Linked DNA regions of Xenopus tropicalis. The protein of the gene in region 1 purifies or fractionates together with the protein of each later gene. This does not show direct contact. Links are inferred from orthologs where the notes say so. Each region holds a gene or a part of one and is shown in the gene's direction. Other genes may lie near its edges.

Region 1 (5,675 bases):
GGCTCTGCTGCCTCTGGTGGCAATGTGCCAGAAGGTTGAAGGTAATTCAGCAGCAAGCAGAGTATCCATTGCTCAGATATGTGTATGTGATTCTGGTTTCTCTGAGCTTTACATTCGTATTGAAAAAGTTTTGTAATAATTCTTAGCTGATTATTTCTAAATCTTTCTTACAGCCAAATGGCAACTTCCTTCTTGCTACCTATCGTTGCCAAGCTAACACCACACGGCTTGAACTCAAGGTAAAACAAGCATTTAGATTTATTTCAAGTAAAGTAGGAATGAAAAACCCAGATCGAGTGTACATGTGTAATACTCTCTCCCTCTTCTCTTACTATCTCTCTCTATATATATCTTTACTTATAGCAGCTGGGATTGCACACTATCCGTAGTGTTTTTTGCAGGTTACCTTTTTTTTCTCTTTTTTTTGCATTAAGGCTGATTTATTTTTTCATTTATTAAAACAGATTCGGTCTATCGAAGGACAGTATGGAACCCTGCAAGCATATATTACACCTCGCATTCAACCAAAAACTTGCCAAGTCCGCCAGTACCAGATTAAGCCTTTGTCACTTCATCAAAGGGCTCATGCCATTGATCAGAACAGGTACACTGTGCCAGAAATGTTTTTTTCTACACTGCATGGGAAAGCCAAAAGTATTGTGTGTTTGATTGAAGAAAAATAATGAATCAGCAGTTCAGCACTTCAATAAGGCTATGCCTCCACCCAGAGGTTTACAACTGTTGAGCAACATTATTACCTCAAGTGAGGCCTAAGTAAATGATAGATCAGTCTAGCCTGAAGGCTAGCTTTCTGTGTGATTTGAGATGACTGCTTATTTGCTTTCAGAAACAAATCAAATGCCACCCTGAAAGTCAGGTAGTAGATATTTGGGCTGAGCACATTGCTCTTGTAGATATTCTTGGATCTTTAGGAAGGTGACATTAGCACCCTTAAGCCCATTAGACTCTGTATTGCACATGTATGAGCAATTAAACAATGCCTGACTCACTAATATGGCAACACAGTCAGATACAATATTAGGACAGGTAGAGGATTTTTTTTAATAAAGAAGAGCACAGGCTGGCAGAACTTATCATCTATTAAAGTTTGATGTTATCAAACATCTCCACCTTTTATTTTGGCTCATTGTTCTTTAAATATATTTACTATTTTGGAAGGGAACATATATTTAAAATTAAATAAATAAAGCTTCATGAAGGAACAGACCAAAAGTGGATGAGAGTATGAGTTATGCTAGACTGACAGTAATGATATGTGCATGTATTTCAGGCCCATGAACACGGTGAGCCTGACTGGCCAGTTCAGCTTTTCAGACATGCATTCCTGGGTTGTATTTTGTTTACCTGAAGTCCCTGAGAAAACTCCAGTGGGAGAGAACGTCACCTTTTACTTCAAGAATACCTTTCTGGAAACGCAGCTCGAATGTACATACAGGTAAATTGTAAAACTGGGTTCTTCAGAATCATTTCCGCCAATTAAAAGCACGATTGGAAAAAATTTGGAGTAACCACAATAATTTCTAATGTGCAAAAATTCTTTTTTTGGTCATACGAAAATATCGTGGTTGCGATCCGAAAGTCACAAAATGTTCATATCCGAACGATCGTTAAAGGTGCGAGATCCTTTCTGGCTTTAAAACTTAAATGCATGATTTTGGAAGCCTCCCATAGGACTCAATGACACTCTACAGCTCCAACCTGGCCAAAAAAAAGTCACAATACCAAAGCTTAAATGAATTCCGAAATTGTCGTAGTCTTTGCAAAAAATACAAAGTTTTTGTGGAATTTAACGAAAACCACGAAAAAGTCTTACTATTTTAACGATATTGTTGTAAATACGAAAAGGTCTAACAATTAGAAAAAATACAATTTTTTCTTATTCGTGGTCAATATAACCAGGACTGTTATATATAATGTTCCAGAATGTGCAATCCATTTACAGGTATGAGACCTGTTATCCGGAATGTTTGGGACCTGGGGTTTTCCAGATATTTCCATAATTTGGATTTCTGTACCTTACTACAAAAATCATTTAAACATTAAATAAACCCAATAGGTTTGTTTTGCCTCCAATATGAATTAGTGCAGCTTAATTACGATCATGTACAATGTACTGTTTTATTATTACAAAAAAAAAAAAGGAAATCATTTTTAAAAATCTGGATCATTTGATTAAAATGGAGTCTATGGGAGATGGCCTTCCTGTAATTTGGAGCTTTCTGGATAACTGTGTCTGGATAACTGAACCCATACCTGTATCAAAACTTGTTAAAACAAAAGTACTTCAGTCAGTGGGTCTTGTGCAGCATCAAAATATTATGTTCATTAAAAAAATATATATATGTTGTCACTGAAATGTCTTCTGTGGACTTCCACAGGAAATGAAACCTATATATAATATATTATACATATATATAGCATTGTCATTCATGCTCACCTCTTTTTTTTTATCACAGAAAGGGAGAAGGATTATTTAAATCTGACAATATATCAACAATTTCTATCCTGAAAGATGTGCTGTCAAAAGAAGCCACTAAAAGAAAGATTAATCTCAACATATCATATGGTATTTTGTCTAATTTACTTTCCCTTACCTAGCCTTATACAAACATACATTCCACTGTTCAGTGCTCTTGTTCTTGAAATGTATTACTTTTGTGAGTATTTATTTCTTAATATACTTTTTGTAATCTTTTATAGTGCAGTATATCTCCACCTTTGTATTGCAGACTAACACAAGCTGTTTGTTACCGAGTCTGGAGATATTTCAAGTAGTTCAGTTATGTGTGCCATCTAGTTAGGAAATGTTGATGCCTTATTATAAATATATTAGAAAATAGAAATTATATTCATTGTAAAAAGAAAATATTTCAAATCCATATTCATTTTATCTGAAAGAGTATTTAGTTTCATCAAAAATATAAAATACTAAAATATTTTAATGAATGTATACTGGAAAATTATTATATTGAAAATAACAGTTAAATGTTATTTTTGAATTTATATCCCTTTAATACTACTGACTTGTTTCTCAAATTAGTGAAATAGGTTGCTAAGTTTTTCCCCAGGCTGGTGCTCCTGGAGGGAACTGCACCAACCTGTAGAAAAAACTGTCTGAGCACCGCACCGGCATCTCCTTACCTTACTTTCTTATTTGAGTGCAGTGGCCGGTAAATGGTAAGTAAATTGGCGGCATGGCGCTCAGACAGTTTTTTCCACAGGCTTTTAAGATTCTCTTCTAACAGGAGCACCAACCTGGGAAAATAATATAGCAACCTATTTCACTTAGGGGGCCTAACATTTTGGAACCCCTCCATAAAATAGACTTTACATGTCCTGTAATACAGATTCCCTTTGTAAATGAGCTATTCCTTATTACAAAGGCTGCAGCTTAGGTATTAGCGGGGTTTTTTTATACAAAGCTCATTATCTCCCTTTGAAATATTACCCTGTTTTATTTATTGTGCTATTTTCAAGCCAAGGTGTTTACTGCCCCTTTGAGGGAAGATAAATTGTTAAAATGTCAGTAATGGCACTTCTGGTATAAAACATGGCTTTTACTGCTAAGAAACAAACCTAGAACTTTATAATGTAAAAGAAAACAAATTTATGTTATGGCCTTTTAACATTATTTTTTAAGAGCTGTTCACTTTTCCTGAGCTCAAGGGTAATGTTAATGAATGTTAATGCAGTTTGGATAGTAATTACTAGAATGAATGTTACGGTTCCTCCATGTGTAGCAAGCTTTTGCAGTCATCATATAAAACTAACTTTTGCCTCACTTCTTCTTTTGGTTTGTGCAGATATAAATGAAGAATCTGTTGGGCACACTTTGAAACTGATTCATCCAAAACTGGAGTACCAATTGCTCTTAGCCAAAAAAGTACAATTAATTGATGCTCTGAAGGTGGGTAATATGTGTTAGGAGCATTTCTTCTTGTGTGAGCTTTTAGCTAATTAGCTATCAATGGGTCTGTCTATGTTTCAAAATCATGAATGTCAGCATGCTAGCCAGTGTTGGATTACACACCCCAACTTTAAGATCATAAAAGCAACTTTTCTCCTTTGGGCACTGGGGGTTGAGGTAATCATTGTGGTAAAGCATTTTTCTCACAGAAGCAAGACACTGATATCAACAGGGCTGACACATGGTTTTCCCTTCTCTGCATTTTCTAGAATTACACCAGCCAGCTCTAGCCTTTCTGTGTCTTGTTGGTAACAGGTTCTACTGTCGCATACCCATCTGACACCCTAAGCTTGGCTGGTGTGAGACTCTTGCCCTCGTCATTTCCCTTTGTGGGAAGGATTTCACTATTTTGTCTCATTGTCCCTCTCACCTGTTCATTTTACCAAAGATTAAATCATAGGCACTTTAGAAAAAGGCATTGATAACATGTAGCATGTTCCAGTCTGGGAGAGCCAAAAAAGTTTTTTCAGGTTCATGGTAAAGTAATCCTCAGTTTGTGGCTTATAGTCTCACACCCACTCCCTGCATTTTCACAAAAGCAGTGGCAGTTCAGGGCTCCCTCCCAGCATCCTGCAGCTCCCCACCCCAGCATCCTCCAGCTCCACTCCCCAGCATCTCCTCAAAATCCTCCCACCAGCATCCTTCATCTTCCCCCCCCCCGCGACCTGCAGCTCCCTCCTCCAGTGACCCCCTGCTTCCTCCGTCCTTGGCTGCTTCTGTCCCCCCGGCTCCCTGCTGCATCCTTTTATATGGTTGCGCCACATGCGTGGTGACGTCATGCGCACGCACGGGGCGCAACCAATAAAGGCCCGTCATTCTTTTAAGGGGGCCGGAGTTGGCGGGCCAGATTAAAAAGGCCAACGGCCCAGATGTGGCCCGCGGGCTGTAGTTTGCCCACCCCTGTTCTACAGGATACGAATGCTCTGCAAATGGGCTTGAAATGATTGCTGAACTATTTAATTTTGGTTTTGTACAATAGGAGCTGCAAGTTCATGAAGGAAACACAGACTTTCTGATCCCAGAGTACCGTTCTATTTTAGAAGAGGCAGAGAAACTTCAGGAAGAATACAAGAAGCAACCTGCACATCTTGAAAGGCTTTATGGTGGGTTTTGATGGTTTTTAATATGTGGTCCCCATATTTTACCCAAAATGAACAGAACTTCCCTTTTCTATGGTATAAAGGGATTTATCCCACTACAAACAAGTCTCACTTACAGCCCTGATCTACAGACTACACCCCCAGTTACATCTGATGTACATTGTGATTATAATTACAAACTTATAACAGGAGCACTACTGCAGTTGACAAGAGGATGTCACAGTAGTTTAGACAATGCCGAAACTGCAAACTGAGTCAGTATCGTCTTTACAAATTTGGGGCAGATGGTTGTTACAAGGCTGATATAACTAAATAACTGATATAAATAAAGTAGCCAGCGGTTCACTATAGTTTGTTTGTTTTTGCAGGTATGATCACAGATCTCTTCATTGACAAGTTCAAATTCAAGGGCACAAATGTGAAAACGAAGGTTCCCCTCTTGCTGGAGATTTTGGACAACTATGAACAAGATGCACTTATGGCTTTTTTTGAAACTGCACAATGAGTGACATGAGCCAGCTATTAATTCACATTACTCTGATATCAAGGCACATATATAATAGCAGCCTTTGGCCCTTCAGGGGTGC
Region 2 (6,436 bases), on another chromosome or scaffold:
TGAAATGTTTGTATTTTTTTTTTAAAGGCTTTCTCCAGAAAACACTGAGCTATTAACAACACTGGGATTGCTGTACCTGCAGGTCTGTGTTTTCTACATTAATTGTTTTGTCCAAATCATATCAGAGTGCAGTATTACCTGAATTCTTCTTTCCTTATTTTTTTAGATCTAACTGTAATAGTTTGAATAGTAATACATCCAAACAAAGGATTAACATAACGTAGTATATAGTATAAAGTTACATAGTATATGCATAGCCCTTATAATAGCAGTCCAACATACAGCATCTCTGTGCCTTTTATATCTTGATCATACCTGTCCCAGTTCCTTGTTTATTCTGCTCTTGGCTATGTAAGTGCTATCTAGCTGGCCATACAACAGCAGATTTGAGCTGTTTAATTTCCCTTCAGACCAAATTGGTACCTTATCTGCCATGTCCTCTCCAGATTGGCCTGCATAGGCTCCTGTTATAATCCACACAAACCTTTGATAATTCTACTTTGTTTGTTTGCTTGACAGTTTCATTTCTTTCTACTTTTCATATTATGCTTATCCACAGAATGGGTTGTTCCAGAAAGCTTTTGAATACCTTGGGAATGCTCTCACATATGACCCTAGTAATTATAAGGTAAGGTAAACATTCTGCAGTCATAGCAGCAGGTTTCTCAAAATATTTAGATTTAGAAGATGGTAAAAAAGTTTTTGCTCTGAACCCCATCATCAGTGGGGCCCCTTCTTGAAAAACTGGTCTAAAGAGGACATACGATTTTGTGACTTTGTTAGATATTTATCTTACCTACATCCCATCAGTTGTTGAACTGCATCTCCGGAGTTTGGCTATTTGGGGATGCAGTCAAACAGCTGAGGGGCTCCAGAATGCACATCCTCTATTCACGTAATTTATTGCCTTAGACCAGGTGCCCACAACTTTTCTTACTCGTGAGCCACTGTCAAATGTAAAAAGACTTGGAGAGCAACACAAGCATCATAAAAGTTCATGGAGGTGCCAAAAAAAGGGCTAAGATTGGCTATTAGGCAGCCTCTATGCACAATATCAGCTTACAGGAGGCTTTATTTGGTAGTAAATCTTGTTTTTATTCAACCAAAACTTGCCACTAAGTCAGGAATACAAAAATAACTACCTGGTTTGGGGCCACTGGGAGCAAAATCCAAGGGGTTGGTAAGCCACATGTTGCTCACGAGCCACTGATTGGAGATCACTGCCTTAGACTATGCCTCAGAGTGGGCTTTTTTCCCTCTGGAATCTGTTGTTTTAAGTATGTAATTTGTATGTTTGATGTATACATTCATTAATTGTTAAGCACTGTGGAATATGTTGGGGCTTTGTAAATAAATGTAAATAATAAGAATTATAAAATTGGGCTCTAGTAGCCAAATAACAAAATTTAGCAAGGGAAATTTGGGAATGTACGTTTGCACATCGCCATTTGTAACTTTTTACCAGCAGTAGTTTAATTCTATTGCAGTATATACATACTTTTCATTGTTAATGTTAGTACTTTTTTTTATATTTGTCTCTTTATTATTATCTGCTTTAAAAATTTTTTCATTAAGCAAAATTTAAGATTTATACTGAATTTCCACACAAAACACAGTAACCAAGTCACTAAAAGCACATAGATTGCATGATAACAGGATCAGCATCACTACAGAATTAATGTGTTTTGTTTTTTTTTTTGTAGAAGCCACAGTAAGGCCTGCAATAATATATTAGTGCTATACATCATATTTCATGTTCTGTGTACATAAGAAGACATGTTTTCAGGGCAAATTATATAAACTGGTTGTCTTAAAATGCTTTGGAGCACCATATCCAGCCAGCAGGCCTGCAATTAAGAACCTATGTTATATATTATCTATTTTTTTTTAATGCTTCTCTTACTGCTGCAATCATCACCAATAAGACTCAAAGTATATTTGTAGCGAGCTGTGTGTTTCAGGCAGTGTGATTTACTAAAGGTGTTGTAGATTCCTAGTGTCATTATTTGCATAGTCTACTTTTTATATACATTTGGGAATATAAATAAATAAGTGTTCAGTCTAAATGGGATATTGGTCTCAATCTGGCCTCAGCCTGTAATTATTTTAATTTTTGTTGATTAAATGCCAAGCTTGTGTACTATATCATACTTGGCTTGACTGCATAAAGTATTCTCTGTTTTAGGGTATATTAGCAGCAGGCTGTATGATGCAGTCCCATGGAGATTATGATGTAGCCCTCAGCAAGTACAGAGTTGCAGCCTCCAGTGTCCCTGAAAGCTCCCCTTTGTGGAATAACATTGGCATGTGTTTTTATGGGAAAAAGAAGTATGTGGCGGTAAGTATGCTCTTATGATTTTATATTGTACCTCCTTTCATAATCAAGAACAGGAGCCTTCAAACTTTTTGGGTTCAGGCCCAACTTTGTAGATTGGTATTTCCTTCAAGGCTATCTTAAACAGAATTAGAAATATATAAAAACCTTGATGTAACAGATTGGGGATTTCCAAGATTTCCAAGAAATAAGGACTGACCCTCAAATTAAGCGGCCATCAGATTTGATGCTATGTCACTGCTTTGCAAGCCACTGATATGAAGAATATCATAATTAAGAAGATAAAGTGTAACTAAATATCTTAAACATAAGACCCAATAATAGTTAATGGAGTTCTTTAAGGTACGCTTCCCAGCCCAGACACTCGCACCTGCATCAAACATTTCAGCTGCCGTCTCCATTTTGTTATTGTGCACAGAATATCTTAGAGTCTGGTTGTATGGTATGTGGTATGTTGGGTTTGGCATTATTTTAATTTGTGTTCTTATTTAAGTCATTCACACCAGACTTTATCTTTGGAAGCAAACAACCTTTTCATTTGAAGTACAGTGTTACCTTTGTTTAAAATTGCATATAACGAGGAACCTGTTAGTAGCTGAATGTAACAGCTATTGCATTATTCCCTGCTAATGACACCCTAATGATTACTCCCCAGCAGGAGAAACCTATATTTCTTACAGAATGATTAACATGCACACCCACCTAAGCAAGTACTTCTTGAACTGACTTTGCCGCTGGGCTGTTTTCTTTCTCCTGCATAATTCATCATGTGCTCAAGTACTTTTACATTGAGAAATGACATATACTGATACGCATTGCAATACAAATACATTCTTTAAAAATCATACAATGTGATTTCCTGATTTTTTTTTAAATGCTGTCTCTCACAGTGGGAATGCACCTACAATGTGAATTTCAGACCCCTCCATGATTTCTAAGTGGGAGAACTTGCAAAATCGCAGGGTGTTCAAATACTTATGTTCCTCACTGTAGATGTTTGTGGCCCACAACAACAGGCCTGGACTGGGATTCAAAATAGGCTCTGACATTTCAAGTACACAGAGGCCAAAACAGCCCACTAAATAGTGACTGTCTATGGCATCTTATAGCAGCCCCTCTAGCATTTGCCCAAACCCACATATTGCCAGTCTGGGCCTGCACTACAGACAACATGATTTCAGTTAGATCTTTAAAGTAAAAACTAAAAATCACAGTAGAATATCAATTTGCAGGGCTGTTGCCATAAAGCTGTACCAAATAACTCTGTTGGACTGTTTAAACAATCCATGTGTACAACTGATATATGTAGCCAAAAATATAGTTACGGGTAAGGGATCGCTTCTCCAGAAATGCGATATCCAGAAAGCTCTGAATTAGGGAAAGCCTGTCTCCCATAGACTCCATTTTAATCAAATAATTCAGATTTTTAAAATTGATTTCCTTTTTCTCTATAAAAATTAAACTGTGCTTTGTATATATGCACACATGCAAAACACTGTAAGCAATTATTGTATATGTGCAATAGTTGTGCATTGTAATAAAATAAGACTGGTTTAACCCATACAAATCTAGTGGAAAGCAATCCATAGGACTTGCTGTTTGTTAACATCTATCCTTACAGTGCCCACGCATAGCAAGTTGTTAGAACAAGTGGTTGAATAAGGGAATCAGGTCACAGGCTAACTGTGCTGTATTCTGGTGCAGGGAAAGATCTTCATAGCAAAGAGGATTACAACTTGCATCACTGCCCGTATAAGATCATTCTGTTAGGCTGATGTCCCACCGGGAGATTAGTTGCCTAAGGTTAAATCTCTGCTACTGCGGACGAGTAATCTTCCCAAAATGCCTTTCCACAAGCAACAAAGTGAATTGTTGGTGAAAAGGCAATGAATATTGTTTTGTTTTTTCGAACATGCAAAGTTTACTCCTGCTTGACTTCGGAAAAGGAAGCAAGGCATATGCCATTCCATCATGGATTCACTTTGTCAGTGGAAAGGCATTTCGAGGAGTTTAGTTGCCCACAGTAGCCACGGCCAACTAATCTCCCTGTGGGCCATGAGCCTTAGTACTTAAATCCATGGTTTATTGCGCAGAGACAGGAGAAGTGTTTATGGCAGAGATTAGTAGCACTGCACTCTGTTGTAATATTTACTTTTCACTAAAGAACAGTAAAGAACCATACACAGATGTGCTAAGTGCAACAGAACATGAATTCTATTCTTTGTACTTTTATAAACATTTTCAACTGTCAAATGTAGTATCTAGCTATGTTCCCTGACATCATATTTATTCTAGTAATCTGCCTGGGCTATTCATGTTAAAATTTAATAGAATATCCCTTACTATTGCTAGACAGCACCTTGGGCACCTCCAGTGTGAAAACATATGTTATAGCAGTGCAACTCTTCAGTTGTATGGCTGCTTCCAATTATTTACAAGTAGAGAAGGAAAGTTCCACACAAAATATGTTTCCTGTATCTCAACATGCAAATAATCTCCATTATAAAAGCTACTTGTATTCTTTACATCAGTTTGACTTACAAGTTTTAAATTTGCTGAAGGACAATATCATGTCTCTGAGTAGCCAAAATTGTGCTGTAATTGTATATACTGTAGTGATCTCTTGCACCCAGAACACTGTATCTTTTTAGAAATAAAATGCCTGGAAAATAGTGAACATTGATATTGTCTTATTTAATGAGTGGTTCCAAAACAAGTGCACATTGGGGCTACCAAGATGTTAGTCACCCCCAGTGATCCTAGTCCACTTACCTGTTTTCTTGGGCTGGTACTCCTCTTCAAGAAATGCACCAACCCAGGGTACAGTTTGCTGCATGCCATGCCTCCATCTACTTTGTTTTTCCTAGGAGTCCCTGTGCCAATGCTAGGAGGGTGCATGCTCAGTTCAGAAACCCCAAGAAAAGTTCTGTACTGTACATGCCTTTGCCTAAGCCCAGCAGGGAATGCATGGAAGACTGGAAGAAGATGGCAGTGTGGGCTAGAAGGGCTTTTTCATGTCCATGATAATTGCTTTCTCATTTGCAGGCCATTAGTTGTCTTAAGCGTGCACTTTACCTGTCCCCATTTGACTGGAGAGTTCTGTATAACTTGGGCCTAGTCCATCTCAGCATGCAGCAGTATGCCTCCGCATTCCACTTCCTAAGTGCAGCCATCTCTCTTCACCATGGTAATGCTGGCCTTTACATGTTGCTGGCAGGTACGTAGCATACAAACCTCCCACAAGTCCAATTATACACTCTATTACAAATTATTTAATCACTGTCAATAATATTATTAATATGATATTTCTCTCCTCAGTGGCACTCACATATCTGGATGATATTGAAAATGCCAAGAGCTCATATCAGCAGGCAGCAAGTCTGGATCAGTGAGTTCAGAACAGTGTTTGATCATACCCCATCTATTTATTTTTTTTTTGGAAATTTTAAAAACAATTTGCCCTTATAGGTGGCCATTTATTCCCTACAGTCATTTATGCATTCTTTATGCTGTTTCTGTCATTGTGGTCTCTGTTGCCCTTACTTATATACACATGGAGAGCGTACATGATTTTACTCTGTGGAAATAAGCACAAATAAAAGCAAAAGCGCTGTGTAAATTGATGGCGCTATATAAATAATAATAAATGCAGCCGCAGTGCATTTTCAAGCTGCTTGAATATACTTTTATAAGTATTGCTCAATTTGCTTTTTATTTCAGTTTCTTTATGCATTTATAAAGCATTTAAGAAGCAGTAAAAACGCGTCACTAACACACCCATGTGTATGAGCACTTAATGGTTTTCCTGGTGGTTTCCACAATCCAGTCTTTAAAGGGGTTGTTCACCTTTAAGTTAACTTTAAGTATGATGTAGAGAGTAATAATCTGAGGCAATTTGCAATTGGTCTTTTATTTTTTTATTATATGTGATTTTTAAATTATTTGGCTTTTTGTTCAGCTCTTCAGTTTGGAATTTTAGCAGCTGCTAGAGTCCAAATATGAATACTTAGAAAGATAAGTAATACAAAGAACAATGTAGCCTTACAGAGCAATATTGTTTTGTCTACTGGGGTCAGTGACCCCTATTTAAAAGCTGGAAAG

The links. The genes of interacting proteins can lie anywhere in the genome.
Region 2: the proteins of bbs7 (region 1) and bbs4 purify together in Homo sapiens (co-immunoprecipitation; 7 studies listed by BioGRID and IntAct, counting the BioPlex papers as one, with this or other methods). This does not show direct contact. The link is inferred for Xenopus tropicalis from reciprocal best matches to the Homo sapiens genes BBS7 and BBS4.

Annotation. Positions count from the first base shown.
Region 1 is NC_030677.2:66,816,393-66,822,067, forward strand, and holds part of bbs7 (Bardet-Biedl syndrome 7 protein), read left to right. Parts: intron 1-173; coding exon 174-239; intron 240-464; coding exon 465-604; intron 605-1,291; coding exon 1,292-1,456; intron 1,457-2,477; coding exon 2,478-2,587; intron 2,588-3,824; coding exon 3,825-3,928; intron 3,929-4,967; coding exon 4,968-5,091; intron 5,092-5,456; coding exon 5,457-5,593; 3' UTR 5,594-5,675.
Region 2 is NC_030679.2:92,228,938-92,235,373, forward strand, and holds part of bbs4 (Bardet-Biedl syndrome 4 protein homolog), read left to right. Parts: intron 1-27; coding exon 28-82; intron 83-559; coding exon 560-628; intron 629-2,185; coding exon 2,186-2,338; intron 2,339-5,380; coding exon 5,381-5,552; intron 5,553-5,653; coding exon 5,654-5,723; intron 5,724-6,436.